2 linked regions of the Rattus norvegicus genome follow. The protein of the gene in region 2 interacts with the protein of the main gene of each other region in a biochemical or structural test. Links are inferred from orthologs where the notes say so. Each region holds a gene or a part of one and is shown on either strand. Other genes may lie near its edges.

Evidence for each region.
Region 1: the proteins of Rab1a (region 2) and Chml form a complex in vitro, tested with the Homo sapiens proteins (2 studies listed by BioGRID). The link is inferred for Rattus norvegicus from reciprocal best matches to the Homo sapiens genes RAB1A and CHML.

What each region holds. Positions count from the first base shown.
Region 1 is NC_086031.1:90,142,266-90,158,086, reverse strand, and holds the start of Chml (rab proteins geranylgeranyltransferase component A 2), read left to right. Parts: upstream 1-5,989; 5' UTR 5,990-6,095; coding exon of another isoform or gene 6,096-6,462; intron 6,463-10,057; 5' UTR 10,058-10,380; coding exon 10,381-12,246; 3' UTR 12,247-15,821. Other genes in the region: Wdr64 (WD repeat-containing protein 64), read right to left, coding at 876-1,020; Opn3 (opsin-3), read left to right, coding at 6,096-6,462. UniProt on the Homo sapiens protein: Substrate-binding subunit (component A) of the Rab geranylgeranyltransferase (GGTase) complex. Binds unprenylated Rab proteins and presents the substrate peptide to the catalytic component B.
Region 2 is NC_086032.1:98,615,545-98,631,365, forward strand, and holds the start of Rab1a (ras-related protein Rab-1A), read left to right. Parts: upstream 1-8,132; 5' UTR 8,133-8,309; coding exon 8,310-8,332; intron 8,333-15,821. UniProt on the Homo sapiens protein: The small GTPases Rab are key regulators of intracellular membrane trafficking, from the formation of transport vesicles to their fusion with membranes.

The sequences.
Region 1 (15,821 bases), on a different chromosome or scaffold from region 2:
GGAGGGGTAGCTTAAGGGAAGGGCATCAAGGACGAGACGCCAGCGTATATTTTTAGATTCAAAGGACAAAGCTGATGGAAAAAGAGACTCCTGAGGTTGTTGCTGCAAATTGACAGTATTGGAGAGGAGGGCAGGAGGGCTGCCTCAGGAAGTACTGGGCTAGAGGAAAAGGGAGAGTGAACAAACTCTAGGCTCTGTGCCTGGCTCTCTCCTAGGGTGGGAAACTTGGCTGAGAGGAGCAGAAGCCCCATCAAGGATTCAAAACCATGGTGAGAGTTGGGAGAATCAATTGTAGCAAGAGGTAAAACAAGCTGACTGGAGGGAAATTAAAGCTTTGTTGAGCACTTTATGGAGAGCTCAGCCAAGATCTGGAGAATATCCAGAAAGATCTGAAATCCTCTGACTCTTGGCTTGGGAAGGTGACTCCTCTCTACTTCCCATTGTCTTCACAAGCAAAGTGGACTGCATTTTATTACAGTTCTAGTGAGCCGGGTAACACAGAGACACAGAGGGCCTCCCATGTGGCCACTATGCTCTACTGAGTCTCAGGTGGGCCAGTGGCTGACAGTGTCTGCAGTAGAAGCCCTTAATGCTATTTAATCCAACTCTTTGTATTACAGATAAATACAAAAGGCTTCCTTGCATCTAGCTAAGTATGTCAGGGACAGAGGAGGAACTCAGTGTCTTGGGTTTTAAACTAAACTGCCTTTCTCCGATGACCTAATCAACAAATCCAGATGGACTTCTCCGTAACCATTCATCTTACCTTTTTGTTTGTTTGTTTGTTTTTTCGGAGCTGGGGACCAAACCCAGGGCCTTGCGCTTGCTAGGCAAGCGCTCTACCACTGAGCTAAATCCCCAACTCCCCATCTTACCTTCTTTGGGGATAAACAGGCCTGCTCTTTCTTCCTTTTTCTGGGCTGTGGTCTGTTCAACCAGTTTATTGAAGTCAACCAAGGACGCTTTGAAGTTGTTGATCTGCAGTGCAAGGTTGAACCGCTTCTCATCCCTGGCATCCATACAGATATAAGGGGTCTCTTATTTCTGCACGGAGGAGGAAATAATACTGCAAATTTGCTAATGCGGAAAAGCTTCTAGTTCTTATAACATGTCTCTGCCATCTCAACGTTTGCCCTAGGTCTCATTCCTCTGGTTTTTTTTTATCCCCGTCTGATAGGAACAAGGAGTAAGAGCTGTTCCTAGGAGGGTTAGCAGGAGGAAAGCTGAGGCCTGCTGCATTTCATAGAGGCAGGGGTGATAGTGAAGGGTCCTGACCTCACAATGTCAGCATTGGCCATCATGTGGACTTCACTAGGTCACAGTATCTGTGTAAGTCCCTGAGCAGATTGGGATCCACCTCCTGCAGGGTGTGTGTGTGTGTGTGTGTGTGTGTGTGTGTGTGTGTGTGTGTGTGCATCCATTGAGAAAATGGAAGGATAAAGGAAGGAAACTAGGTTTTACTTTCCTTGGAATGAATGTCTCTTCTCCCTCCCAGTCTCCTGTCTTCTTCATGGTACTACAGAGAGTTACGTTCACATTTTCCCATAGCTCTCCTGGATAGGGAAATTTGAACCTGTGAGGATGAAAGTGTATTTCATCACCTGTCTTCCTTGGCACCAATAACTATTTTTAGAAGTTGTGGGGAATAAAAACGTTTCTTTTTCCTCTTTATGCATTTACCTTGAGCTAAAAAAACGAAAAGGAGCCAAGGATAAGGAAGGTGTCCTTGTGAGGAGAGCTTTTCAAGAGGAACCAGTTGAAGAAGAAGAGGCCTTTCTGTTTGTCTCTTCCATTAATGCTAGCATCTAGCACCACTGAGTCCAAATGCTTACTTCTGATTTAAGTTGTGTGTGTGTGTGTGTGTGTGTGTGTGTGTGTGTGTGTGCATTCTAGTGCATGCTGCTGTAAAAGTTTGCTGCTATGTGTGCACAAGGCACAAGGAGGCCTGAGGATGAAATTGCACATTTTCATAATCGTTCCGTACCTTCACTTTTGATGTCAGATCTCTCTGAATCCTGAGGCTGTATTGACTATATTTGGTGGCCAACAAGCCCTCTCCACATTTCCAGCTCCAGTATTCCAGGTGTCTAGCCCACAGTGCCTATCTTCTAACATGGGTACTGGGAATTGAACTCAGGACTTCCGTAGGAGCAGTCAATGCTCTTAACCACTGAGCCATCTCTCCAGCCCCAGTGCCTATCGTCTAACATGGGTGCTGGGGATCTCAATTCAGGTCCTTACATTCGTGCAGCAAACACTTCATCAACTGAGGTATGTCTCCAGCCCCCAACCCCTCTCCTACATCCCAGTGTTTTAGAAAAGTCTATTCTGTCTGTCTACTAACAGTCAATTTATGAAAACGTGAGAAAGATGGAGTCCCTTTTCCTTGGTAGTGTATCTTTTCAATCATCTTGAGCAATCCTGAGTTCAGAATTGAAGCAAATGGCATTAGGGGGCACGTCTGTGGTGAGCACCGGGTGTCCGTCCTTTGACTCATCTCTGACCGTGAGGTTTTAGGGGAGTAAATTTCTATAAACATGCTACATGGAGAATCTCTTCACTCTATTTATTCTTTCTTTCTTTTCTCTTTTATAGCTTTCCAAATACTACTTGGCAGCTTCTGGGAACTATCTTTCCTCCAATCCTCATCCATTCATTCGGCATTTATCAGACACCTCCTTATGCCAGCAGGTATGTAGGTAGTAGTGATACAGGAGTGAGCAGATAGTGTGAAATTATTGCTTACTGTATTAGATGTTGTATCTTCTGCAGCATTGGTCTTAGTCCATTCCTGTTGCTCCAATAAAACATGTCACGCCGAGTAATTTGCAAGCAGATACTGATTTCTCACAGTTCTGAAGATTGGCAACAGTGTAAGGTCCCGGCAGTCAGGAGCTGGCAAAGGCCCGTTCCTCCTACGGGAACTTTCTATACACTCTTACGTGGCGGGAGGATGTCGTGGAAAAACACTGTGACCAACAGCAACTTGGGAAAGAAAGAGTTTAGTTTATCTTACACTTCCACATCACAGTCCATCAGTGAAGGAAGCCAGGACAGGAACTCAGTGCAGGAATCTGCGGGCAGGAACTGAAGGAGAATCCAGGGGGGAACACTGCTTACTGGCTTACTAGTTGTATTTTTCTAAGCCTGCTGTCTTCTACAACCTAGCTGGACTGGACGCTCACACATCACCATTAATCAAAAACCTGCTCTCACGGCTTTTCTACAGGCCAGTCTAGTGGAAGCATTTTCTCAACTGATGTTCTTTGTTTCCCCCAAAAACCTTGTGCCAGGTTGGCAAAACAACAACAACAACAACAACAACAAAAAAAAAAAAAGAAAGAAAGAAAGAAAGAAAGAAAGAAAGAAAGAAAGAAAGAAAGGAAGGAAGAAAGAAAACCAACCAAACAACAACTAACCGAGGCAGGGTAGCAGGTTGCTTTACGTCACCATGGCCAAACCCAGCTCCAGGAAGAAGCCAGCGAAGAAATCTCCTGGGAAGAATGTGTGTTAGCACCCGATGCCTGTAGCAGGGCTTGGATTCTTGATGTTACACAGGCCTGAATGGCCAGCCACTGCTTGGCTTGTCTGGGTCACTTTGGAGATGATCTATTGGGGAATACTGCCATGTCCAAAGATTCCACAAGCTCCTGTAACAGTGCCACCAGACAGGGACCAAGTACTGAAGCACACAACCCCATGGGGAATCACTCCCATAAATATCTAATTCTGAAATGTATAAGGAACATTTTTTATTAGCAAAGAAAAACATAATATGTGGTATCTTGCTTATTTCTATCAACTCTGCTAAAGGACTTTAACAATTCACAGGACCATTATAATAACTGTTATCAATTATCAAAATGTTAACTCTTTCCCTCCCAGGCTCTTAACTCCTTCCATTCAGTGCTCTTGTGTAGGCAATGTTCTGGACCTTTTAGGTGGATACGATAGAGGCCACCACTGCTCCCCTACCTCTCTATCCTCATCTCCTGTTATTCTGCTGTACTGGCTCCCTTGTGTCCCTCCGAAGGGGCAAGTAGAGCCCCACCCTGGCACATAGGTCTTGTTTAGAGCGCTCAATGCAGACCTGAATAACAGCACATTTATTTTCTCTTCCTGCTATTTTCTCTGTCTTATAATTATTTATGGCACTTGGCATCTGACGTCTTCTATATGAACCAATTTGATTATTATTGTCTTCTATCCCAACACCTCTAGAAAGTGAGCTTGAGGAAAAAAAGACTGTGCCAAAGAATGAATACTTTAGAAAAAAATATCAGAAGTCTTTCCTTGCTTCCGTCCTCCCTCCCTCCCTCCCTCCCTCCCTTCCTTTCTATCTTCCTTTCTTCCTTCCACTAACATTGCAATCTTACTGTAGTAACACTACTATACTGAGAACTCAGTGAGACAAAGAACTTGCTAAATGCTCGTAGAAGTCTAAAACAGAAAATTAGAAACGTTTTTCAGGGCAGGTGAGTTCAAAGTTCTTGTAGATGCTGAGTTCAGGTTAGAAGTTTTAAAAATAAGACAAAGATTTTCGAGGACGGCACACATTGCCTCTTGGTTGAATGTTCAGTGCAGCAGGGTATCAAACTATCTCAGCTGATTATTGAAGAACTTGGAGATGCGCTGAATCTAACACAGTGGGAGGGGCGAACACTCAATTCAGTTTCCACAAATCAGTCATTAGCGCCTATGACAGCTTCAGGTGCGTGGAGCTCGGGACATTTTTCTCTTGTGGGTAGTCGTTGGGGACTGCAGTGGAGACAGGGAAAGCAGGCCTAAAGAAGTGGTGCTCACAATCTATATTTGACTTGTACTATATTTGCATTGCTGCTGGGGAAAGGTCCAGTGGAAAATGTGTGCTGTTCTAAATATATCCTCTCTATACCGGCTAGATTTGGACTGAAGCCTTGGGGGCACTGCTCAAGAGATCACCTCCAAGGAAGCTCTTGGACAGGATTGTGTATCAGGATACTCCTACTGCAGACTGAGAAGGCTTGGGATCCAATGGGAGGGTGACTTGGGTGTCACTCTGATGCTATTTTCTTCCTTTTTCTGGGGCTCTGAGAGGGGCACCTCAGCATACTGTCACAAACTCTGGGACATATCATCTTCCAGCTCTAGAGTAGTTGAGTCTCAGCCTGCTGCTTTTGTTTGTTTGTTTGTTTTGACCTCAGTTTCCCTGTTTGTAAGATCGTTTCGCTGCCTCGGGCATTTCATTGTTTTGTTTTCTTTCTGTTGGGTGTATGAGGTGGGGGTGGGTGTTGTTATAGCTTCACAGGAAAAAGTATTTCATTCAGCATGCTCAACTGAATTAAGCGCAGGCGTTTATAAATATTTATGAATGAATGTATGCTAGGATGATTGACTTAACAGGTGAATGGATGAGATGCTTTCAAGCTGGTTGAGGGGAAATGAGCAGTGAGGACCCGCTGTGGCTTATTTAGCTCGGTAAAGGAGTTTACTTTCTTTTTTTTCCCCTGTACGGTCTCTTCCCGCTTCCACTATGGCTTAAGGGTTAAGGAAGAGGAACAAGAGCTGACTAGACTCCAAAACTTGCCTCTGCAGGTTACAGAATGCGCCTGGGAGGTGGGAAGGGGTGGAAGAGGCGGGCCCCAACTAGGAGGCGGAGTCAGAGGTTCTCAGAGGGCGGGGCCGTACCCTCGAGGGCGGGGCCAAGAGTGTGAGTCGGGGGGCGGAGTAACGGGAGATTCCGGGAGGGAGGAGCCGCAGGCGAGACTGCGGAAGAGCCTTAAGGGGGCGGGGCCAAACGGCTGTTGTTGGGTGGGGCCGCAAGATTGAAGGGCGTGGCGTCGATGGAGGTCCAGTGTAGTGCTTGCTAGTGGGGCGCGGGACTCACGCGGGAGGGCGGGATCTCAAGAACGCTAGGGGGCGGAGCTTCGTGCGGTGGGCGGGGTCCTAGCACTGAAGGGCGGGGTCTCGGGTGCGCGCGGGCTGGGCGGGCCTGGCGCTGCTCCGAGGCACAATGGCCTGAGCTGCAGCCTGAGCGTGAGCTCCACCCGGTTCGCTGCGTGGCGGGCAGCCGGGCGCACGGAGCCCTCTCCCTCACGGCGCGTCGGCGTCGGGCCATGTACTCGGGGAACCGTAGCGGCGGCCAGGGCTACTGGGAGGACGGGGCGGGCGCCGAGGGCGCAGCACCGGCCGGCACGCGGAGCCCCGCGCCTCTCTTCAGCCCCACCGCGTACGAGCGCCTGGCGCTGCTGCTCGGTTGCCTCGCGCTGCTGGGCGTCGGCGGCAACCTGCTGGTGCTGCTTCTCTACTCCAAGTTCCCGCGACTGCGCACGCCCACCCACCTCTTCCTGGTCAACCTCAGTCTGGGCGATCTGCTGGTATCCCTGTTCGGAGTCACCTTCACCTTCGCGTCGTGCCTGCGGAACGGCTGGGTGTGGGACGCCGTGGGCTGCGCGTGGGACGGGTTTAGCGGCAGCCTCTTTGGTGAGTCGCCCGGGACGGGTTCTCCTCGCCTCTCAACTTTCCCTGGGTACCTCAGCTCTGGGCTTCCGTCCTTCCCGGGATCGTCCCTGATAGCCAGTCATCACCCACAACTCCCTGTCTCTCCTCCTCGAGAACCTCCCTTCATCCGTAACCCTCTTCTCTCTTCTCCCAGGAATTCTCCCTTCCACCAGGTCTTCCTCCCCAACTCTCTTTCTCTTCCGCCCCCTCCCTCGGGTCTACACAGCCTTCCTCCCAGCCAGTCATCAACCTCGGCTCCCCATCCCTCTGCAGCACTTAACAAAGTCTCCCTGCTGCCGATCACCTTATGTCCTCTCATCTGTTTTTACTTCCTACTGTAGCTCAACAGGGCATCTCACAGTGGGGGAAAGAAACCAGGGCCTGTAGAGTCCAGAGATGCAAGAAAAAAGTCAACTCTTGAAGAGTGGAGGCGGGGACAAGGAAAGATTTAATTAATAAATGAAGTATTTGTTTCTTAAAGTGACACGTAGAATCCTAAATAACGCAGCATTTTTACCCCCTTTCACTCGTTAGCAATTCTAAACGGTTGAATGCTTCCTAGGGAGTGAGACTGTATTATACTTTTTTTTAATTGTATTCCCTCCACATAGGTTCTGTCACACCAGAGGTTACAAAGGGCTCAAAGAATTCCAACTCACTCTTGCGAATAAATAATTAGCAGGGCAGCCAGTACGTTTAATTAAAGTAGAACTTGTTGATTTCTTGAAGATTTATATTGAGAATTGACAGGTTGAAGGTTGACTAACCCAGGATTCTAAACCTGAGAAAAACGTGTGTGTGTGTGTGTGAGAGAGAGAGAGAGAGAGAGAGAGAGAGAGAGAGAGAGAGAGAGGAGAGAGAAGAGAGAGAGTCTGTGTGTATCTGTCCTAAGGATTTTGTTTGTACAACGACTTACAATAGAAATGGATATTACTTAAGGCTTAAAGTCCCTTTTTACAAACCTTAAAACACATTGATAATTTACTATTACCTTGATCTTGGCAGGTCTTAGAGAAAATCATCTATGTCATATCCCGGAGATGTATGACAAACCCAAATCTCAGAGTATTTGTCATGATTCCCTTTTTAAAGTTTTAAAATAAAATTTAGGAGTTACGGTGGTTTTTTTTTTCCCCCACTACTTGACAATTCTGATACTTTCTTATTCTCTCCCCCCTAATAAACATTCATCTAAGGACTTCCTTTATATAACAGTATTGAACCCTGAGAAAGGTCCGTAAGAGGATATGAGTGGTACATAGGTTGTCTATGTGATTATTCTGTTACCTAAAAATGTTCGTTGGGAGGGTTTTTTAGGCAGATTAATCTTTAAACAAGGTGATGTGTCAGGAGCCTAGCTTGCAGAACCCCTTGGGCGGGCGACAGGTGTTTGAAGACATTAAAGTCCTTTTTTTCTGTGAAGTACTTTTCTGTGCTGTGGTGTTCAGTGTCTCCATCTGGGGCTGAGAAAACAAGACTGGGTTGAGTTTTTCTTATGTCTGCAGCACCCTGTCTCTCTCTGGCTTGCTCTGCCAAGCTTATCTTCCAGAATCCTCTCTGTCCTTTCTTCCCCTTCTGAATTCCTGCTGGGGTCTGTCAGCATCAGAAGAGATTTCTTTAAAGACTACAAGAAACATCCACCCCGGGTGTTTTACTGGACAGTTCCTTTATTCAGGGCATCTATTAGGACTTTGAATCATGGCCTTTATTCCCATCCTAAAACCCGATGTAGGTCTTGTGGGATTAGAGGATTGGAAATAAGTTACTTCTTGGAGACAAGTCTAGAGTGAGATTGCTGCAGATCTTAACAGCATAATTAGCAAATGATTTCTTTTCCCAGAATATGCTTCTTGAGTAGGGAAAAGGATGGAGGTAGAGAAGACTCTTCCCTTTTCTGCTCCTCAGCCAGGACTAATCAATTCTGAGTACTGAAGGAGAGGACATGTTTAACTGCTGGACGTTCCTAGCTGCTTGCTCCAGGCTTTGGTGAGACTGGTGGCACAAGGGTAGGCCTATGGCTATCCCATTGTCTAGGCCTTCCCAGTCTCTTACCGGCTGCTGGTTCTCCTACCGTTGTAATCTACTATTGAGCTTTCTGCGGTTAAAGTCCTCTCTCCCACTTGCTTTGTATTTTTGAAGGCTACAGTGACATCTGTAGGTTAGAACGTACCTACACTTGGTGCTTATAACCCCCTCCCCTCTTACTGCCACCCTTCAGCCTTGTTCTGTGCCTGGAGGAAGTGCATATACATGCTTATACTCTAGACAGCCTCATAGGTTTTCTCTCCCTCTTTATAGTCTGCTAGAAGCACGAGTAAGTAATTCACATATTCTCGTATATATGTGCAGGAGGAGACCAGGGAATTGCTTCATTCTGGGCTCTGGTCTTAGCATCTCAAAGAAGGCTAAAAATAAGTAGAATCCCTGATAATCTTGGTCAGAGGTTTCTACCAGCTGGGCTTGTTAGGGTCACGGTTTCAGTTAAACTGATCCAGCCAGCCAGTGACCTAGTAAAGTTCATTTAAATCCCTATTGAATGGCTTATTTTACAGTTACCAGAATAACCATTCTCTTACTTGTACCTGCATCTAGATAGCAGATTTAATGGTAGTGTACAGTAGAGGGGCCAAAGAACAATTATTGCTACTGTGTATGATGAGCAATCCAAAGACCGGCAGTGGGGTGTATAAATGTGCTAGCCTGCAGAATTCCAGGTGAGTATGTCCAAAGGGAACAGCCGCCAGCCACACCTAGCATTGCATGGACTATAGCCAGCCGTGCGATGGAAGGGAACAGAAGAATCTTTTCTCATTATTTCTTTAGAAATGAAAATAACACGCTTAGAAAGATATTCGTGGTTGCAGAGATCGTGTGGCAAAATGCAAATAGTTCCTTATTTAGATATTATTTATGTTACTGTGTTTTAAATAGGTAACCAAGAACTTTCTTTTTTAACTTATACTTTGATACTGAAAACATTATAAAACTGTTTCCCCTTAGGCTTGCTCTTTTATATACTTAGGTATTTTAAAGTGCCAGTTATTGAATTAATTCTTTTGTAATGTCTGAATATCTTAGTGTATCATGTAATGTCTGAATATCTTAGTGTCTACTGCAAGATCCGTAGGGTAGTTAAGGATATATAAATCTTCTCTAAGGCTCTTCTGGGATTACCTACTGACCTTCCTGGCCACAGTAATCTTCCCCATTATGTTGACATGATCATAGCACATCGTGTGTTTCCATTAGCACAGTAAAGCCACCATAGTCCTTTAGCGTAAGCTCATGGTATTGTCCAAATATTTTATTAAAATCAATAATTGTATAACACTATTTTTTAATTTATTTGGATATCGTGTCTATGCCTCATAACAATATTGCCTGACTTTAGGGGAGGGTATATAAAATACCTTCTTTTTGCTAGAAGAACTGTCGGAAACCATTTAATGAATTGCTTTGGGTAGAGGTTTGTATCCACATTAACAAGTCAGACTCCAGTGGATTGGAATTGCTGTTGCATGAAATTGCTTCTATATTATTTACAACTGTGTTCTTTTCTTGAATTTTCTTCTTTCAGAGAAGAGTTCCAGTCACAAATGCATATGTGATGCATGGTAACATTTCCCGCTAAGGTGAAATGCAGAAATGAAAAGGACACATCCGTATGAGTATTCTCAGATATGATTACATGCACTTTATCGTGTTTTCCATGCTACTGACTTTTTTTTTTAATGTTTAAAAATTATAAGAGTTAAAAGCTTAGGACTTACAGACTCGATGTTTCTGAATGAATATCACAAATAAAGATTTTATTACAGCATCAATACCTCAGAAGAGCCCTCAACCTAGATCCGTACTGTGTTCTCTCATCAGCTGTGGCCTGAAGCTTCAGCTCCTAGGATGGCGGACAAACTTCCCACAGAGTTTGATGTGGTTATAATAGGGACTGGTTTGCCTGAGTCCATCCTGGCAGCTGCATGTTCAAGAAGTGGACAGAGAGTTCTGCACGTTGACTCAAGGAGTTACTATGGAGGGAATTGGGCGAGTTTCAGCTTTACAGGTTTGCTGTCGTGGCTGAAGGACTATCAACAGAACCATGACAGCGAGGGAGACGTGACTGGCACATGGCAAGACCTGATCGATGAAACCGAAGAAGCCATCGCTCTTTGCAAGAAGGACGAAACTATTCAGCACACGGAAGTCTTCTGTTATGCTAGTCAAGATGTGGAAGATAGCATGCAAGAGACCGACCCTCTGCAGAAAAGTCCCTCCCCAGAGGCATCTGCTACTCCGGCGGACTCTCTGGATACTGCAAGCTTGCCCAAAGAAAGGCACTCAGAAGACTGTACAAGCTACGAGGCGCCTTCTAGACGTACAGAGGGAAGTGATGGAGCAGTTTCACTCTCCTCCGCTGATGCACAGGACTCACTGGAGAAAGAAAAGTTCTGTGGAGATGAAACCGGGATGCACACAGTTTCAGATGGAGAAGAAGGTGAACACAAACTTGCTGCAGAAGACAACGTAGGACAACCAAAGAGAAATACGATTACTTACTCGCAGATGGTCAAGGAGAGCCGGACATTCAACATTGACTTGGTATCAAAGCTGCTGTATTCTCAAGGCTCACTGATCGATCTTCTAATCAAATCAAACGTTAGTCGTTATGCAGAGTTTAAGAATGTTACTAGGATCCTTGCATTTCGGGAAGGGAAGGTAGAACAGGTGCCTTGCTCCAGAGCAGATGTGTTTAACAGTAAAGAGCTCACTATGGTTGAGAAGAGAATGCTAATGAAGTTTCTCACGTTCTGTTTAGACTACGAGCAACATTCAGATGAATACCAAGATTTCAAACAATGTTCATTTTCTGACTACTTAAAAACTAAAAAGCTAACGCCTAACCTCCAACACTTCATACTCCACTCAATTGCAATGTCGTCAGACTCATCCTGCACTACATTAGATGGCCTTCAAGCAACAAAGAACTTCCTTCGGTGTCTTGGACGGTTTGGCAACACTCCCTTTATATTCCCTTTATACGGCCAAGGAGAAATTCCCCAGTGTTTCTGCAGGATGTGCGCAGTTTTTGGTGGAGTCTATTGCCTTCGCCATAAGGTACAATGTCTTGTAGTTGACAGAGACTCTGGAAGATGTAAAGGAATCATAGATGGCTTTGGGCAGAGAATAAGTGCCAACTATTTTATCGTGGAGGACAGTTACCTTTCTAAGGAAATGTGTTCAAACATTCAGTATAAGCAGATCTCAAGGGCAGTGCTTATCACAGATCAGTCCATCCTGAAGACTGATTCAGACCAGCAGATTTCCATTTTGGTAGTGCCTCCTCTGGAGCCGGGAACTGCTTCGGTTCGGGTCATGGAATTATGTTCCTCAACCATGACATGCATGAAGGACAGCTATCTGGTCCACTTGACCTGTTTCTCTTCAAAAACAGCCCGAGAAGACTTGGAACCCGTGGTGAAGCAGTTATTCATCCCTTTTGCAGAAGCAGAAGCAGACAAAGAGGAACTCAGAAAACCAAGACTTTTGTGGGCCCTTTATTTTAATATGAGAGATTCCTCAGGGGTGAGCCGAAGCTCATACTGTAGCTTACCTTCCAATGTATACATCTGCTCTGGTCCTGACTGTGGACTGGGGAATGAGCATGCAGTCAAGCAAGCGGAAACACTGTTCCAGGAGATCTTTCCCAGTGAAGAGTTCTGCCCTCCTCCACCAAACCCTGAAGACATTATCTTTGAAGCGGAGGGTTAGCAACCAGACACTCCTGGATAGCAATACACTTACCACTAAGCTAGATACCCCAAGGACAGCAAGAACTTTTAAAACCTAGAGCACCTTCAAAAACAAAAGAAAACACTGGCAATGCCTCAAAACATTGTCGCATGAAGGATACCCACCACCAGAGTGAGCCACAACTGTGTAAGAAGCACTGTTCACGTGTCTTCAGAACTGAGATTGTCATGTTACTGTTAACCTTTCAACAACTGAGTTGTTGGTGAATTGGCTCTTTTGTTTCAGAATTGGCTACAGCAATTCAGAATCTTTGAAGGCCGTTCACTTTTATTTTACTTCTGGGTCCCTCGTTAGCACCTCTGCTGACCTTTAGGTAATATCTCGCTTGCTCCTGTGTTTAGGTTTTATCTTTTTTTTTTTTTACACTAAATTACTGTCCAAGGACTATTTTAGCTACTCCCGCAGCTACTACTGTTGCTACCACCTCAGATACGTAGAGGGACACGTAAGTCATAGACTGGGAGAGTTTCTTGATTACAGGAACACATGGAGATGGTAGTAGGAGTAGCAGCTAATTCAGATGCCATGTGGTAAGACACAACTGTCAGAAGCTTAGCTGTGCGTGCCACTGTGTCGTGGGTTTAACACTTACATGTGAACTCACCTGCTTGACCATTGGAACTCAGGAGGCAGTAAGACTTCCCTAGCCTTCTACCTTCTAAGAAGTGTACCGCTTAGTAGTCTAAGAAGCTCATATTTAAGATACATCCCAATCTGGGCATGGTGGCCCACTCATGTAATCCTGTCATTCAGACTGCTGAGACAGGAGGATCACCGTAACCTAGGCCAGTCCGGGCTCCAGTGAGCTGGGAAGGAGCACAGCATGCTAATAGACCACAGTGTGCTCTGAGTATACTCTTACTCCTCCTTAGTGAGGAAAGCAAGAAAAGATTCACATGACTGACAGCATGCTCAGAGTAGACAGCCGCTGATTGGTCTCAGTGTTTGTTTTTTAGTAAAGCAATAATATTGGGTAAATCTTAAGGTTTTAATTAATTAATTAATTAATTAATATTGGGTAGATCTTAAGGTTTAAATCTAGCAGAACAACTGAAATGCCTAAAATGTCCTAAAACAGCAATTAACAACAATTCTGAGAGAGGCCGATTGGAAGTGAGAGTAATTCAGACCCACTTTATAAAGTTTGTCAGAACCACAGTCTGCTCCAGAGACATTTAGAAGGCATAACTGCAAAGGGTAGACAGACATTTCAAAAGACAGAACTGAATGTAATGGAAATGGAACTAAAGATTAGACTTGGCCAAAGCACTGTTTGTTTGTTTGTTTGTTTGTTTTTAACTAAGGAAGCAAATATATTACTTTAAGTCATCACAAAATAATAAGTTGGAAGTGAGACAAACAAGTGAAAAGTATTTAAAACTATTGTGGATATTGTCTAATTTTCTAACAAGTTAGAATGTAGAATTGTAGTTTTTAGATGTTTAAGAAATAAATCATAAATGCTGCTTTTCATCAGTTCTATTTTGACTCAATGAGGGCTTCATTCTAAAAGTCAAACAAAGCCCCTCCTTCCGGGTAGGCGGGAGCTGCAGAGTTCAGTGTTGGCAAAGAGCTAACAGCAAACAGAAACTATACTTACAGTGACTCAGGATCCGAGGGCTTGTGTCCAGTAGAGTAGCCACGCATCTGGAGGAGCAGAACAAGTGGTAAGAGCCCTTACTAACTGCACTAACCAGAAACTTGCTCACATTTGCTTTAGTTATGTTTGCTCATGGTTTTGTAGGCTGTTCATAATACGACGAGCAACAATGTAAAACTTAAATTTATATTTGGAAAGCATGTAGGAACCATTTCTCAAGCAGAAACAAGGCCTTGTTACTATTTCTATCTGAATATGGCTGAAAGAATTGTTACTGGAATAAAAATGCAAAGTAAAGATGCACAAAGAAACCAGTGCTGATATATTACATTTCCATGGCTTTTTAATGTATAGCATCATAGAAATATACTACACACAAAAGATATTTCACAAGTAACAAGATACATAGCTTTTTTTAAACTCGAGATTCCAACAGTGATGGAATTTTAAAAAGCACATATGTGTGTATATATATATATATATATATATATATATATATATATATATATATGTAGCTATATTAGAATACTTTAAGAAACACACTAAAATAGAAGGTTTAATGAAGGAGCTAAATTTAAAATATGAGTATGGGAATGAGAGCTGTTTTGGCTCAAAGGAAATGCTATAAACACAGGGAAACCTTACACAATTCACTACTAGTTGTCTGATCTCTAGGCAATCACTTTTAGCTTCCATTTACCATCTATCAAGTGGAAATACTACCTAACAGAATTATTGTGAAGACCAAGTTGGATAATGCATAAGAACTCATATCTAAGGTAATGCTAGCATGTGACATTTTATGTAAATGGTATTTATTATAATGTCATTTGTTACGCCAAGCGTATGCTCTATGTAATTTGAGAGAATTGTTATAAATTATCTAGGAAAATAAGCTGGGAAAGCCACCTTCAACTTGAGAGGGAAAATACAGAGCTTTGCCCTTCAAGTCCTTAAGGCATGATATTGAACAACCAATCTAAACACTCTGTGGTGCTGAGTTCAAGAAGGTTAAGATAGTCAGCTCTCTGGAGGGAAGCTTTTAGACACTACCCAGAGGAAGCCCACATCAGTATGGAGATAAGTATTAGGCTTCCTTTTCATCAGGTAATGCCGTTTATTTGTAAATGAAACTGTTAAGCATAAAGTAAGAAGACTACGATTTTTACCCCAGTAATGGTGCCCAGGCATGTTCGGGCAGTAAACATTGACAGTGGAATAAAAAAGCTGTCTCTATTATGTGGGTGTTTTTTATTTTTATTTAAGTTTAGTTGTTTGAGACAGGGTTTCTCTGTGCAGCCCTGGCTGCCCTGGAACTTGCTCTGTAGACCAGGCTGGCCTCAAACTCAGAGGCTGCCTGCCTCCGCCTCCCAAGTGCTGGGGGATTCAAGACTTGTATGCGCCTGACTTGTTTTTCTTTCTTTCTTTTTTTTTTTTTTCTTTTCTTTTTTTTTCTTCAGAGCTGGGGACCGAACCCAGGGCCTTGCGCTCGCTAGGCAAGCGCTCTACCGCTGAGCTAAATCCCCAACCCCCTGCCTGACTTGTTTTTATTATTATTTTTTTAAGTAGGTGCACATTCTTCAGGCTTCCTACTCTTCTTGTGCACAGTATAAAGTGATAGGTTGAAAATGAGAAAAAAAAGGAGTAAAACGAATTTCTTTGATCCTCAAATTGATTCTCATTAAAATAGAGATTGAAGCAATGTTGACTGGGTTCCTACTATTTTTAAATCTGCACGAGTCTTCATACAGTAGCATCATGTATTCATGGTCATTTTGAAGAACTACTTAGATTAACCTGACCTCTATAATGGATATTTTTGACATCACTTTGAGTAGTACATGCCCAGGAAAATACTCAGAATGAACAAGTGAATAAATAAAGCTCCTTCTAAACATATGTCCTAGCAATTCCATTTATATGTTTTTTTTAA
Region 2 (15,821 bases):
TTTCTGAGGGGCCTTGCTGATCTCTGCGTCTTCCCAGTTTTAACTTAGGTGCTGCCAACTCGAGCAGGGGACCTTGAACTTCTGATCCTCCTGCCTCACCTCTCAGGTCGGAATTTACAGGCTTACAAGGTGGTTATCAACAGCGGTGTTTCACTGAAGTACCAAGCTGAGGACTGAACTCAAAGACCTCTCACAAGCTAGGCAAGCCCTTGCTGAGCGACATCCTCTCTGAACCGCTGGGAGACATTTAGGGAGTTAAAGCTTGCTCACTCCCAGCCCAGTGTGTGCCTTGCCTGCTTCTCTCACTGGCTTTGGCCATGGAGATTCAAATAGTTTGTTATGGGGGTTGGAGAGGTGGCTCAGCAGTTAAGAGCACTTGATGCTCTTCCAGAGATTCCTAGAACCAATTTTAACTGTTACAGTTTTGTTCTAAGAGGTATCCTGGGCAATCAGGAGCCAAGGGATACCACAAAGTCACATCACACAACAAACCTCACATAACAGATTTATTGGGAGGGAAAACCCCTGGAGTGTGGCTGCCTCTGTTTAGGGAATGGGCAGAGAAAAGAAGCAGCAGGAAACTGAGCAGACCTCTATAGGGTTCCTTGGGAGGGCTGTGTGTGGGATTGGTGACATTTTTGTGGCCTGATCTTAGGGGTTGGGATTCTGTTTCTTGACCCTGGCTTGGTCTTGGTGTCAGGTCAGGGTTAGGGTGTTTTTCCTTTTACCCCACACTCAGGATTGGCGGCTTCTAACCGCCTTTAACTCTAGCTCCAGGGATCCATCGCTCTCTTCTGGCCTCAGCACACGGGAGTCAAATACTCACAAACACATTCAGAAAGTTAAAAAGAAAAACATAAATAATTGTTTGGTTTCAGGCCCCAGGACAAGGGGCTGAGGTGCATATTTAACATACCAGAGTATACCTTGCCTCCTGGCTCTCCCAGCATCCCTCAGTCCCTACCTGGCAAACTCTGAACTCTCCAGCCCAGGGACTGGGCTGCTCTTCCCCTAGAGGCTCCTTCCTGTGTAATCCAGACATTTTGGTCTCTCCTTCTCTCTCTGTATATGTGCTTTCTTTCTTTCTCTCCCCCCTCTCCTCTCTCTTTTCTCACAGTGACTTTCCTGGCCTCCTTCCTTGGGGGTCAGAAAACTCACCCGAGAGCAGCTTTCCAATAAATCTGCATTTTTTTTTCTCTCCAGAGCTGGGGACTGAACCCAGGGCCTTGCACTTGCTAGGCAAGCGCTCTACCACTGAGCTAAATCCCGAACCCCAATAAACCTGCATTTAATATCATCTAATCTGCTTTGTATTGGCTCATTTTACCTGTAGAGAGATAACTTGTCAATAATAATAATAATAATAATAATAATAATAATAATAATAGTAGTAGTAGTAGTAGTAATAACTATTTTACTATGTCTATAACAATGAACTATTATTCTCCAAATAACTATTTCTTCCAAATAAACTTGACTGAACAAACTTATTTGGCCCAGTTAAGTGAGCCAACCCTAGTTCCACAAAGTCTTTCCCAAGAGCATAACTTAGCTTTTTTCCCCCCCACCCCATAGCTTAGCTTTAAAGCACTTCCTGCCTCATGTTTCCTGGAAGGTGAGTTTCAAAGCCCAAGTCTAGCTTTGTTCACCTTTGACAGACTTCTATTTTGGCAGGCTTTCTCTGGCGTGTGCGTGAGGGGCACTGAGCACAACCTTGCACACGCTACTAAGAATGTCTCTCCCATTGAGTCTCATCTCCAGCACCCAGGCTTTGTGTGTGTGTGTGTGTGTGTGTGTGTGTGTGTGTGTGTGTGTGTGTGTGTGGTGTGTATTAGTCCCCAGCAGCCAGCTCTGTCTGTCCTCAGAGCACAGAGGCTTCCTTCTCTACCCTATTTCTTTCTATTCTCTCACTTTGCAGGGGCCTTGCTTCCTTGTTGGCAGGCGGTGAGCTGGATATTTTCGTAATTTTTAGCTCCACCCTTCCCTGCAAACTGGCAGATTCTATCTCCTTTAGGAATCTCCCCTCCTTTCTGTTCCCGGTAGATTGCTCCGGGACTGGATAAACGTGCTGTTACCACGAGGAATCTAGTTACTCTTTAACAGTTAGGCCGATGCTCCTACCTGCAGGCTCACACAGCTGCCAGCTAATCTCACCACCTCTCGCTCCTCCACGTGGTGTTGCTTGCTGCTGACCGGGCTGAAGCAGGGGCTCCTCATGATCTCACCTAAGCCCAGACATCTCTTACCTTAACTCCCAAAGAGCCTAGACCAGTAATCCTCAAATCAGCGTGCACACTCCAAGTTAAGTGGCTTCTCCTCTCCAATTTCTGTAATGATCAAAATTTCAGCCTTTTTCTTTTGGGGTGGGGGGCTGACCTCGTTCATACCAGAGACCTATCTGAAAATACTGAAACTTTTCTTCTATGTTTTCACCCACCTCTCACCATTTCCTAGATGCCTGATTCATAACTGACAATGTATATTACAAGGATTTTTCTCCTGTCGGGAAACTAGGCAATGTCCACCCCGAGCCCTCGCTAAGGTTCCAATGACAAGGAGTTTGATCCTATTTATTGGACTTACAAACTGATCGTGGATGGGTAGTTACCAAGCTGCACTGGAAGTTTCTACCCAGTGGAGATAATGGCTCCCCACTAGCCACACGGATGGAGGCCCCTACCTTAGAATTCCCCAGCACATACACTTTAGGCCCTCACCAGGCAACATGTAATTAGGGTAAAATTACATACAAGTAGGTGGAGAGTGCCTGGATACGGGACACTAGGCTAGAGTTCCACGACCCTCCCCACTCCCTCCATCTGTGAAGGGATGTCCAGTTGTGATTGAAGATCTTGTGCAAGCAGGCACAGCTGAAGCATGGAGATGGCTGCTGGTGTGCTCTGAGGTTAGTACTATACAAGAGCATACGATTTATACATAAGTAAATTACGATTTTAACGTTTTAACCAAATCTCGTTTAGTTACTGCAGTGGTGGTGGTGTGTGGTCTATATGTACATATCACAGCACACCTGTCAGGGGTCAACTCTGAGGGGCCAAATCTTGCTTTCCACCTTTAGATGGTTTGGGGAACAAACTCAGGTTGTCAGGCCTTCACGGCAAGTGCCATTACCCGTGAGCCATCTTGCTGATCCTAATTCATAGTTTTTGGATGTATAGGACCGTGAGTTCTTTTGGTGATGTTGGGACTCAAAGCCAAGTGACCTGGGTTTTGACAAGTATGTACGGTTATATACCTAGCCGTCATTACAATGAAGATACAGGCTATTTCCCTCAAACCAAAGACATGCATCCTTTGCGTCTCTTTTCAGACGATCCCTTCCTCCCACTCCTCATGCCTAGCAGTCTCTAAAGGCCATATCCTTTACGTGTATTTTTGTACTTTTCCCCAGAGGCCTTGTCTGTATTCTCAGAATTTTCTAACTGAATGGTAATCTCCTTAAAGACAAAGAGTTGTAGTCATTCAATTTTATATTGTTTAAGCATATATTTCAAGTACAGCTGGGTGGGCATGGTAGGGCATGCTAGAAATCACAGAACACGGAGCTCAGGGGAGTTCGAAGCTATCCTCGACTACACAGTGAATTTGAGGCCAGCCTGAGTTCCATGAGAACCTATCTCAAAATAGCAAAGCACACCTACCCTTCCTTCTCTCCCCAAACCCAGATCAAGGTCTACATACATTTATTATGTACCGGGTCATATACACCTGAAAAAGAGTGGAAACAAGAGAGAAAAGGGAGAGAGGAAAGGGGGGACAGCCAGAAGGGCTGGAGAGGATCAGCAGGTGAAGGTGCTTGCTGCCAGGACTGGTGTTCCGAGCTAAATCTCAGAAGCCGTCTGTTGAGACAGTGAAGCCCTGAGACTTGGTCTCGGCCCTTCTCACATGTGTGCCCTGACAGGTACCTCCGTACACCCACACATTTCTGTCCTCGTGTGTGCCCTGACATGTACACCCCCCACCCCTGTATACCCACACAGGTAAATAAATAAATGATAAATAAATGTGAATGAGGAGGAGGAGGCGGCTCTGGAGAGATAGCTCAGGGGTTAACAGTAATCGCTGCTCTTGCAGATGATGAGAATTCTATCCAAGGACCCTCTGTAACTTTAGCTCCAGGGGATGCAATGCTGTCTTCTGGTCTCCCCTGGGTGCCAGCACACATGTGTGAATACCTACACACAGACACATACACACATATATAAATATAAATCTTTTTTCCTTTTTCCCTTTTAAAGGCAGAGCTACCTAGGAGGGCCTTTCTGCTGTCTCTGTCATGCTGAGACTCAAAGCCAAGCTTCACTCGTGTTGTGTCTGTGCTCAGCTGCAGATCAGACCTCCACCCTCCAGAAAGGCTCTCCCTCAACCTCAGGGCAGTCAGAAGAGCGTGTAGTGTTTCAGTGAATCATTCTGAGATTGTAGGCAAATTCTGTCTTTGAGTGAGTTTCACATGAGCTTAGGTTAGAACTCACTGTGTGGCTCAGACTCTCCTCAGATTCCCACCCATGCACCTGTCTCAGCCTTTCCAGTGCTAGGGTTGCAAACGAGAGCCACCAGTGTTTGGATTGCTTTGAGTTTTTTTTTTTTTTTTTTTTTTTTTTTTTTGGTTCTTTTTTTCCCGGAGCTGGGGACCGAACCCAGGGCCTTGCCCTTCCTAGGCAAGCGCTCTACCACTGAGCTAAATCCCCAACCCCTGCTTTGAGTTTTTAATCTGAACTATTGGCCAAAGGGTAAACATGAAATATAATAAGTTCGCACCAGCAAAATTCGTTACCTACCGGTAACGTTTGGGGGTTGGGGAGATGGCTTGGTGGGTAAAGTGTTGCATATGCACTTTACCGGAGGACCCTTCGTCCCATGTGAAAGCCGGTGATACACATCTTATGCACTTGTGCTGGAGCATAGATGGAAGGATCCAGGAGCTCAATGGCCAACTGGAGATCGAGCTCCAGGTTCAGTGAGAGACCTGGTCTCAGAAAGCAAGGTGGAGAGTGGCAGAGGAAGGAAGGCATGTGCGGTTGACCTTTAGCCTTTATACAGGGACACATGGTCACACGTAATGCTGGCAGACACATATATATGCCTACATAAGAAATGGGGGGAGGAGAGGGAGAGAGGGAGGAAGAAAGAGATTATTTTAAGATACATCTAAGAGTTGGGAGTAGTGGCACAGGAACTTGATCCCAACACTTGGAAGGCAGAAACAGCTGGAGCTCTGTGAGTTCAAGGCCAGTGTGGTCAGGGAGCAGGACAGCCAGAGCCACACAGTGAGATCCTGTCTGGGAAGGCAGGAAGTATACTATTATTATTGTTATTGTTATTGTTATTATTATTATTATTTCTTTTTTTGAATGTTTTACCTGTATGAATGTATGTATGTATGTACACCACCTAGAGGCCAGGAAAAGTGCTTTACTATAAAACTAGTGTTATAGATGGTTGTGAGCCACCATGTGGTTGCTGGGATTTGAACTCAGGACCTCCGGAAGAGGAGTCAGTGCTCTTGACCACTGAGCCATCTCTCCAGCCCAAGGAACCTTAATATCAATAACACCTATGTTGCAGTAGGATATAGGAAGCTGGCACTCACTAATCCACAGCCATGATGGCTTGGGGGGTTACTAGAAGATGATTTGTTGGGAAGTTAAATAGTTAATGAAAGAAAGTTGAGCAAATTTACCTCTGAGGAGGCAGACAGATAAAAAAAATGGAGTTTTGGTGGTAGCCTCTCTGTATGGTGGTAGTGCACTCTGTAGTGCTTTCTTTCTGAGAGTCTGCTTTCCTTAACCTTCATGCTTAAGCCTATATTAAAGATTTATTTATTTCATGTATGTGGGTACACTGTCGCTGACTTCAGAAGAGGGCATCAGATCCCATTACAGATGGTTGTGAGCCACCATGTGGTTGCTGGGATTTGAACTCAGGACCTCTGGAAGAGCAGTCAGTGCTCTTAACCACTGAGCCATCTCTCCAGCCCTTAAGCCTATATTAAAATACCGCCACTAAAACCCCAGCTTGGGTTGGAGAGATGGCTCATCTGGTGAGGACATTTTTTGTTCTTGTTGAGGACCCATGCTCAGTTCCCAGCATCTATCACACTGTAACTCAAGATTCAGAGTATCAAATGCCCTATTCTGGCTTTTGAGGCCAAGAGGCACATGCATGGAACACATACATACATACATACATACATACATACATACATACATGCAGGCAGGCAAGACATTCATATACATAAAATTAAAATTAAATGATAGATTTGGGGGTGGGTATTGAGACAGAAGTTCACTGTGTAGCTCTGTCCTAGAACTTACTATGTAGAACAGGCTGGCCTCAAACTCACAGAGAAGCACCTGTCTCTGCCTCCCAAGGGCAGGAATGAAAGGCATTGCTTCACTCTGTCTGGCTTAAATGATAAATCACAGAAAAAAAAAAACAACAATAACAACAAGATCTTTGCTTGAAAAATTGAGTTTGGGGACACTTCGGAGTTTTTATTCTGTGAAATGATAGGAGGACATATCTAAACATGTGTGGTGCTTCATTCATCCGTCTAGGGTTATTTCAGAAGTTAACACAGAAAAGAGCCATATAGGATGGGCATGATGGCCCCAGCACTCAGGAGGCAGAGGCTAGTGAACCTCTGAGTTTGAGGCTGGCCTGGTCTATAGAGGGAGTTCCAGGACAGCCAGGGCTACACAGAGAAACCCTGTCTCAAAATACCAAAAACCACAACGATAACAAAAAAAACCAAAACCCCCAAAACCTATCTATGTATGGTCTGATGAGGCTGTCAAGTCACATGGAGGAAGTCCAGAGGGATGTGTAAAATATACTGAGTATATGGTTAGAGATGAGAACAGCCTCTTTTGCTTATTTTTGTGTCACTGAAATTCAGAAATTAAAAGTAAATCCGCAGTTGGAGATAATATTCTTGCTTAGAACAAGTTGGAAGATAAACTTTGGACAGTGTATTATATTATGCCCTTTGGAATAAATAACCCAAGATAATGTGTTAAAGTTTAGTGGAGATTTAAATTCCTGAGCTGATTAAAGTTAAGGTCTGAAAAATGTATTAATATTAGTTCTGGAGTCCAGAATGAGTTTCCTGGCTTAAAAAGACACTTATTATTACCCAATGTTACAGACGGACACAGAATTTAACTAATAAAAAACAAACAGCAGCAGCACCAACAGCAAAACAAACAAACAACCCCCAAAACTTAACAAACCAACCCAACCCCAAAAACCAATTCAACTTTAAGGCCTCAAGTAGAAAGACTAGGTTAAGGTTCATTTTAGCCTGAGTCTCAAAAGCACAATGCAGAGCCTTCAAAGGTTGGGAGGTCTAGATGGAGGAGCAGTTTCAGACAGGTAAATCTGATTGCGTGTGCAAATGGACGGGGGCAGAAGAGAGACTGGAGCAGGGTCCATTTGCAGCTATTTCAACATCAAGTTGCTAGAGTAAAACGGTAAAAACAAAAAAAAAAAATCAGAAAAGGAGTCGGGTGAGTGTGAAAGCCCAAGGCTACACAGGCCACCTGACTTTCCTTTTGTCCTTAGAGCAGCCCCAGACTCTGATGGGGTTGGCCACTGCGTTCTTGCCAGAGCAGAACTCGTCAAGTTGTCCCCACCCCGCCTCATTCGCGTCCCAGCGTTCCTGGGAGCCCCCTCCCCCTCGGCTGCGGCACCTCCCTCCGCCCGGTTCCTTCCTCCTCCCCCTCCCCGTGGGGCACTGACTCGCCCTGCTGCCACGTCTCACTGATGACATCAACACAGTCCGCTCGACCTTAGCCAATCCGCTAGGGGGAGTCCGAGCGAAGTCCTAGCCAGCAGGCCAGCGGGGAGGGGAGCAGGAAGGGCGGGGTGTGGGGGTGAGGGAATCGGGACGGGGCGGGCGACAAGCTCGCAAGGGCGCATGCGTAGAGGACGTGGGGCCTAGTGGGAAGCCGAGTGCAGGCTGCCCTCGGCCTCGTCAGGCTGCCCAGCGCGCGGAGTGCTCACGACTCTCTTTCCCAGCGTGCCCCGCGACGCTGCCGCCCTCTGGGCCGCGACAGGCCCCTTGGCCTAGGCTTCCCCAGTTCCTGGTTCGCCGGCGGCCATTTTGGGTGGAAGCGATCACTGAGTGGCGGCGGCTGCTGATTGTGTTCTAAGGGTCGGAGTGGGGTCGACGTTTGCTCTACCGGAACAGCTTAGCTCATTCCTCCCCTTCCTTTACCCGTGGCGCGGAGGCTTGGGGCGGCGGCTGCGTCAGCAAGGGCGGTGGCGGCGGCGGCAGCTGCAGTGACATGTCCAGCATGAATCCCGAATAGTGAGTGCAGGAGAGCCGGGGCGGGCCGGGGTGAGGGCGTCCAGCTGGGGTGAGGGCCGCCTGGAGGCTCGCTGCGCAGCACTCGGAAGGTCGACCAGGCGAACGAGACGGAGCAGCCCGAGGGCCCCATTGTCTGATGGCCGAGGGCCGCAGCGGGGAGGGGTCGGGCCTCCGGGCCGGGTCCGGGGCGCAGCCGGCGGGGAGCTAGGTGCCGCGGCCGGGCGTTGGGGAGTGGGCCTCGGACAGCGGCCAGGAAGGGCGCGTCCCTGGAGGCAGTGACGGCTGGAGGAGGACTTGTTTTTAAGGGGAGGTAGGTGGGAGAGTTCTGCTAGAGGGCACTGTCAGACCCTGCGCCGGCTCTGCGGAGCTGTCAGCGTCGACAGGGAGGAAACCAGCTTTACTTGTAAATCCTGAGCTTGTTAGAGCTCTCTCACGGTTGGATTTCTGGTAATATGGATGCTTCTTGGGACTGCGTGGGCTTGAGGGGAATGAGGAGATGGCGAGAAGCTATTTACAATGTTTAGTTTCCTTTAGGGCTTGTCTCCTGGAAGAGTTGTGTAAGAATTGTGAGATGTGACCCTTCTAAAATCCTGAACATTTGTGAAATTTTTGTTTTAGGGGGACACATGAGTCTCTCAGTCACCTTTTGTTTCCGGTAGGTTAACAACATCAACAAAACTGAACTAAAAATAAACTAGAAACGTCTTCCTGGCACCACCAAATTAAAGTACAAGTTTGCAGACAATTTTGAAAAGAAACTAATGGGGCCTTTGATGATAGAACTGTAGGTTTTAGATTACCTGGTTGAATGCCTGTAGATAGGGAATGAGGTTCCATGACGTGTCATGAAAAGTTAATGCATTCCTTTTTCTTGCTTACTCAAGAAGTCACTCTAGCAGATGTGACACACCTGGCACCTTCATGGGAACTGCTCTTGTCTTTTCTTGGATAGATATTGTTGGGCTCTCTCTTTGACCCTAAAATTCTCCTCTGGCTTCCATATATGAAAATAACTCGAAGAGATGTCATTTTTATTATACTTTAGTGTCAGAAATCTTTAAGGGAGAGGGATTTTTTTGTTTGTTTGTTTTGTTTTTTTTTTTTAATAAGAGAAATCAATACTGCCCTAAAACCTGGGCTTATTTGTTGCTTTGGTCAGTCCCCGCTAAGTGTGTCCCCAGGAAAGGTCCATCCATCAGCTCAGCTGACTTGTCATGTGTGTGTCACATGGCTCTTGCAAAAGACATTCTAAGTTCAAGTTTTCTAAGGCTGGTTTAATACTGAAATGTGCTTTTTCATTTGGGTTAAGCAGAAGTCTTGGTATCTTGGTAGAACTTTACATACTTTATTTTTATTGTGACACATGTGATTGCAGGTGCACAGGTGCCACTTTGTTTGCGGCAGAGGTCGGGACAGATTTTGGGAGCTTGTTCTTTCTCCCTTTGTGGGTGGCTTCAGGGAACTGAACTCAGATAAGCACTTTATCCACAGAGCTCTGTGGTTGACCCAGGCTTTTGTATTTCTTTAAGAAGTTGGGAACAGTTCATATGGTGACACACTTACTGTGGTGGCAGCCCCTCTCCCAGCACAAAATCAGTTTAGGGAATGAGGTTCCATGACATGTCATGAAAAGTTATTGGGATTCCTAGTTAGATTTTAGGGAAACAGAGAAGAACATGGATTTGTTAGGAAGGTTTCTAATTTCTATTTGAGAAGATTCCTATATTTGTTACATATGTATTTAAATATTTTTATTCTTCTCAAATTTCCTAATGCTATGACCCTTCAATACAATTCATGTTGGGGTGACCCCTACCCATGGCATTTTCATGTCTATTTCATAACGGTAATATTGCTATCGTTATGAATCATAATGTAAATATCTGATAACGCAGGATATCTGGTATGTGACTCCTGTGAAAGGGTCCTTTGACCCCCATCAAAGGAGTTGCCACTCACAGGTTGAGGACTGCTGGGTTAGAGACATCCCCTGGCACTGGAGTTAGAGTACTTGTGACCAGCTGATGTGGGTGCTGGGAATGGAGTTAGAGTTTTCTCCAAGAAGAGAAATATTCTTCACTACTAAGCGATCTCTCCAGCCCTTGTTATATGTATCTTTTAAAAAGATTTATTTATTTATTTTATGTACCGCATTCTTATATTTTTAAATACTGTAAGAGATTTAACTATAAATGACCAAAGTTAGATGTTACTTAGACTATTTCTCTTTTTATAAAGTAGTACAAGAGACAGTCATTTTTACTACCTATTAAGGTAGTAGTGTGTCCATGAGTATGTAAAAAGGACAGCTATCCAGATCATGTTGTAAACAGTATAAATCATTTTAAAGCAAGCTAGGACTTAGGAGTGTAAACCTTAACCTCAAGGGGCCTGTAACATAACATAACATACAAAATAGGTTCTATACATGTCAGATACTAGGAGATAGAGCATGCAGATGTGCAGCATGGGTCAGGACAGTGTGACTTTAGGGCAGAGTCACTTGTTCTGGTTGGCTGTTGGGTTTTGGAAGACTGTTCTAGAAGAGACATGTAAGGTAGTTCAGCAGAGGAAGCCATCTGCCACCTTTATGAGTTCCATCCTTGGGACCTATATGGTGGAAGGAGAGAACTGGCACCTGCAGGTTGTTCTTTTCATGTGTGTCCCTCCCCCAATAATCTAAACAAATAATTTTAGAGAGCAAAACGTGCTCTCTAAAAAAGGAGAGTTATTAGCACAGAAGTGAGGCAGGGGAGATTTTTCTGGAGGAAATGGAAGAGGAATGGCTAATAAATAGCAAGGCTAATAACTCTTTTTGTGTTTTGTGATGTCGTCCTGGCTCTCCTGAAACACCCTTTGTAAATGAGGCTGACTTTGTATTTGCAGCAGTCTTCCTGTTTCTGCCTCCCAAGTGCTGACATTACAGATAGGAGTCACCGTGCCCTGAATGGACAGTGCTTTAGTCATTCTTCCTGAGTTCTCAAGCATGCCAGTATCTGGCTTATATTTGCATTCTAGACTGTGTAGTAAATTGACCAGGAGTTTGAGGAAAGGATTTATGAAACTTGCTCAAGATTAGAGGTGATGATAGATATTTTATTACTATTTTAAGTGCAAGCATATATTAACTAAGAGTAATGTCTGAGGCACTTGCATTTAACTGACAGTGTGATGTGAACTGTGTGGTAAAGTATATGGAAAGGGCCAAAACTTTTTTTTTTTTTTTCTGGAGATCTGGAAGACAGCTTTGACATTTTACACTTATTGTATGTTTGGAGAGGGGGCACGTGACTGCTACAGTGAATGGGTGGAGGTCAGAGGGCAGCTTGCAGGATCAGTTCTCTCTGGCTACTATGCAGGTTCTGGGGTGGTAACTGTCTTTAGTCATGGCTATAGGCACTGAGATATGCTGCTGGCCCAAGATTTGATTTTCAGAGCTAGGGAGTGAAGCAGGCAGTGATTATTCCAACACACTGATTGAAGATGCTAAACAGAGCCAGGAGTGGAGGAGCCTGTGCTCTGAGCACTTGAGGCAGGGCAGGAGGCTCACTGAAGGTTCAAGACCACCCCAGTCTATATTAGAGAATTCTAGACTGTCAACGGTGACATAGGGATTTTGTCTCAAAAGAGAGATAGACAGATATAAATACAGACTTGATACTAATTAACCTCATACAAGAAGTAGTTGTCATAATCTATTAGCTTCTAGGGAAGTTTTATTTATTTTTTATCATGAGACAAATTATCAAGGATCCCAACCTGGCCTCAAGCTCACTTTATACCTGAGGATGACCTTCAGCTTCTGATCTTCTGTCTCTGCCTGCTGAGTGCTGAGATTTGAATCTATAGCTTTGCGTGTTAAAGCTATCCAGCATCCTACAGCTGAGCTCTAACACAGACCTTAAGCTTTGTGTGTGCATGTGTGTTCTCATGTATGTATGAGTGTTGTATGTATGAGCATGTATGAGTGTTGGGTGTATGTGTACGAATGCCTGCATGCATTTGGTGGTCAAAGGCCAACCTTGGGTTTCATTCCTTAGGAGCTTTCCATTTAATTTTTACCTTTTATTATTTTCATTTTGTGTTTTTGAGTGTTTCCCCCTTATTGTGTACATGCAGTGTCCAAGAGGTCAGAAGAGGCAGTCATCTGAATTACAGATTGTTTGGGCTTGCATGTGGTTGCTGGGAACCACACTAGGATCTTCTGGAAGGACAACCAGTGTTCTTAACCAGTGAGCCACTTGTCCAGCCCCTGTTTATTTATTTTCTTGAGACAAGGTTTCTCACTGGGATATGGGGTTCACAGAAATGGCTAGGTTGGCCAGCCAGCTAGCGTCAGGGATCTTCCTTTGTCTACTTCCCTGGTGCTGAGATGATAACAGGTATGGGACACCACACCAGTTTTGTTTTGTTTTGTTTTTTAAATGAAGTGGATGCTTTCTAACTCTGGTCCCCATGCTTGTCAGACACACAAGCATCTCCTAAGCCACCAAAGTTTAAAGAATTTTTAATAGAGCCAGGTGGTGGCGCAAGACTTTAATCCCAGTGCTTGAAAAATTTATATTTATTACTCTGTGTGTGTGTGTGTGTGTGTAAGACAGTCTGTGAGAGTAAGTTCATGTGGGCCCTAAGGATTGAGCTGAAGTCTCATGATTGTTTATTAGTTAAGGTGACAAAGTAGCACGGCACGGTGGCTCATCATATGATTCCAGTACTTGGGAGGTTGAAGCAGGAGGATTGCCTGAGGTTTGAGGCCAGGCTGGCCTACATAGTGAATTTTTTTTTTTTTTTTTTTTTTGGTTCTTTTTTTTTCGGAGCTGGGGACCGAACCCAGGGCCTTGCGCTTCCTAGGTAAGCGCTCTACCACTGAGCTAAATCCCCAGCCCCCATAGTGAATTTAAAAAGCTAAACCAAACCAAACCTCACTGTGTAGATGGGAATGACTGAATACCCATTTCCCAGATGCTCTGATTAAAAGTGAGCAACCTTCTCTGGGGTTGGGCAGAGCAGTTTAATGACAGTGATCTTTTCTTCCTATTCCTCCTTCACTTTAAAATGAGACTCCAGATTTCCTGAAAATGTTAGCAGTCTTTTACACTTTTATGCTTTTCTGAAATAGAGCTGTTTCAATTAAGTGCCTTTCCCTTTTAAGTGTTTGATAATAAAATTGGACTAATCAGTTATCTGTCTGACAGTGTATTAATATCATTCCTGGCTTTCATGTAGTTTTCACTGCTTTTTACTGTTTTGTTTGTGAGTGTGTATGTGGCTGGTAGTCAAATCCAGTACTTGCACATGCCAGGCAGATGGCCCCTGTCATTCTCTCCTCCTCCTTGTAGAACAATTGGAAGAAAGGTGATTTGGGTCCTTACTGTGAGGAATGTGATTTTAGTGTCCGAAGCATCATGTCTGTGGTTGTCAGGTAGACAGGCAGCTTTTGGAACCTTTACTAAATGTTCAGGCTGCAAATCTCAGTACCCAGGAGAGTCAGGAGTTTAAAGCCAGTCTTGATTCCAGGGCAGCTTGGCCTACAGATTTGTCTCAGAGAAAAGTCGGAAAGGACAGAAAACCAAAACCTGAGTGCCATTATGTGAGCTATTTTAGATGTGACTTACTTTTTATTACCCTGTCTGAATTTCACATTGGAGTGTCTTAGTAAGAGACATTGGTAAATTGCTCCCTCTGCCTTTTAAAGAGAAAGGAGTGGTCTGCCTGTTGTTTTCCTGTAGAAGTTGGGGCTGAAATTGCTGCTTTGGTACTATAATATGATTAATTTTTTTTAAAAATTGATATTTATGTTTATGGGTGTTTTTCCTTCTTATTTGTCTGCACCTAATGGATGCCTGGTGTCAGAAGAGCTAGAAAAGGGACTTGAATTCCCTGGAATTGGAATTATGGGAATTGAACCTGGATCCTCTGGAACATTCTGCATCTAGTGCTCTTAAATGCTGGGCTATCTCTTCAGCACCCCTAGAATATAATTTAAAGGAAAAAACCCTGCTTTTTGTTGCCAACATTGATTGAATTTATGGTCTCCAAATGCATCCCCCCAACCCTAAAATTTTTAAATTTAAGCCAGATAACATTTAGATAAACATCTACTTTAAAATTCATGGAAAATTTTTTATCACACACACACACACACACACACACACTTTTAAAAAGCCTTATTTTTATTTCATGTGTATTGGTACATGCATGTCTGTAGGAAGGTGTCATCTGCCGAAGCTGGAGTTAGAGGTGGTGGTGACTTCCTGTGGGTGCTGTGACTTGAACTGAGCCCTCTGTGAGAGTGCAGGCAGTGAGGCATGCCCAGCCCGACACACGTGCTTTCAGACTGGGGGCTTTACTAGACCGTTTTCCATGCTAGGCATATACTCTGCCACTGAACTTTTCTCTTTTGTATTTCAACACTTGGTCAAAAGGGGAGTTCAGGTTGGCCTTGAACTCGCTCTGTAGCTGGGTAGGCCTTGAACTTGTGATACTCCTGTTTTAGCTTTCCAGTTAACTTGAGATTAAATGCCTGCCACCAGACTCCAACAGAGAGATTTAAAAACAGAGAGAGGCTGTTTTGAGTAGGGACTAATGACATGTTCCTGTACTCCTAGAGTAGGCAGGGGAACCTTGGGAGTCTTAGGTACACAGTTCTGACAAGAGGGTTTGTGAAGTTTACATGGTGGTCCATGCCTGTAATTGTAGGCTACTGAGAAGGCTAAGGTAGAATTGTAAATTCCAGTTCTAAACTTAAAATGCAGAGATGGCCGCAGTCATGGAATACGACATCTATAGTTGGGTCTAGGTGGCCTTTGATCTCTTAAATACTGTGTCTGTCTTGCTTTTCTCTTTCTTGTCTATTGCATGTTTTTTATTGGGACCTTAGAAGTTGTGAAGTCTTTCTGAGAGTGAAAAGCCATGGAAGCCATTAGCATTTTTGAACTCCTGGAGCAGCTATGAGTACTTATGTAAGACCTTCCCAAGATTGAACCATTGGCTTCCTGTCATGGATCAGCAAGGGCTTCTCCCTCCCAACACAGCCTTCCCTGAGAGTCTTCCGGAGCTGTTTGCTGGGGGAAGGAGATTCATTTTCCTCAGTGGTGTAGCCACTGACGAGGTGCCTGTGCTCCTGTAAACAACACTAATGAAGTTCATTGCCACCCCCACCTCCAATGGAAGTAGAGGGAGTATTAGTTGAAGAGGATCAGTGACCCTTAGAAGTAGGACAAGAGAGGGAGGGCCATGTGAGTATGACCAAGATAGATATGCAATGCCATACTAAAATGCATAATGTATAATTAACAGATGCTAATTAGTATTTTTGAAAAAGTCAATCTCAGTTCCAAAGACTTAGTGTCAAAATTGTTCACCGGTTCATGTAAAGAAAAGGGCTGGTTTGGCTAGATTGGCTGGCAAGAAGCCACAGCGATCCTTCAGTCTCCCCAGTGTTGGGATTACAAGTGTGCTGTGCTGTGCTGTGCTGCGCTGCGCTGTT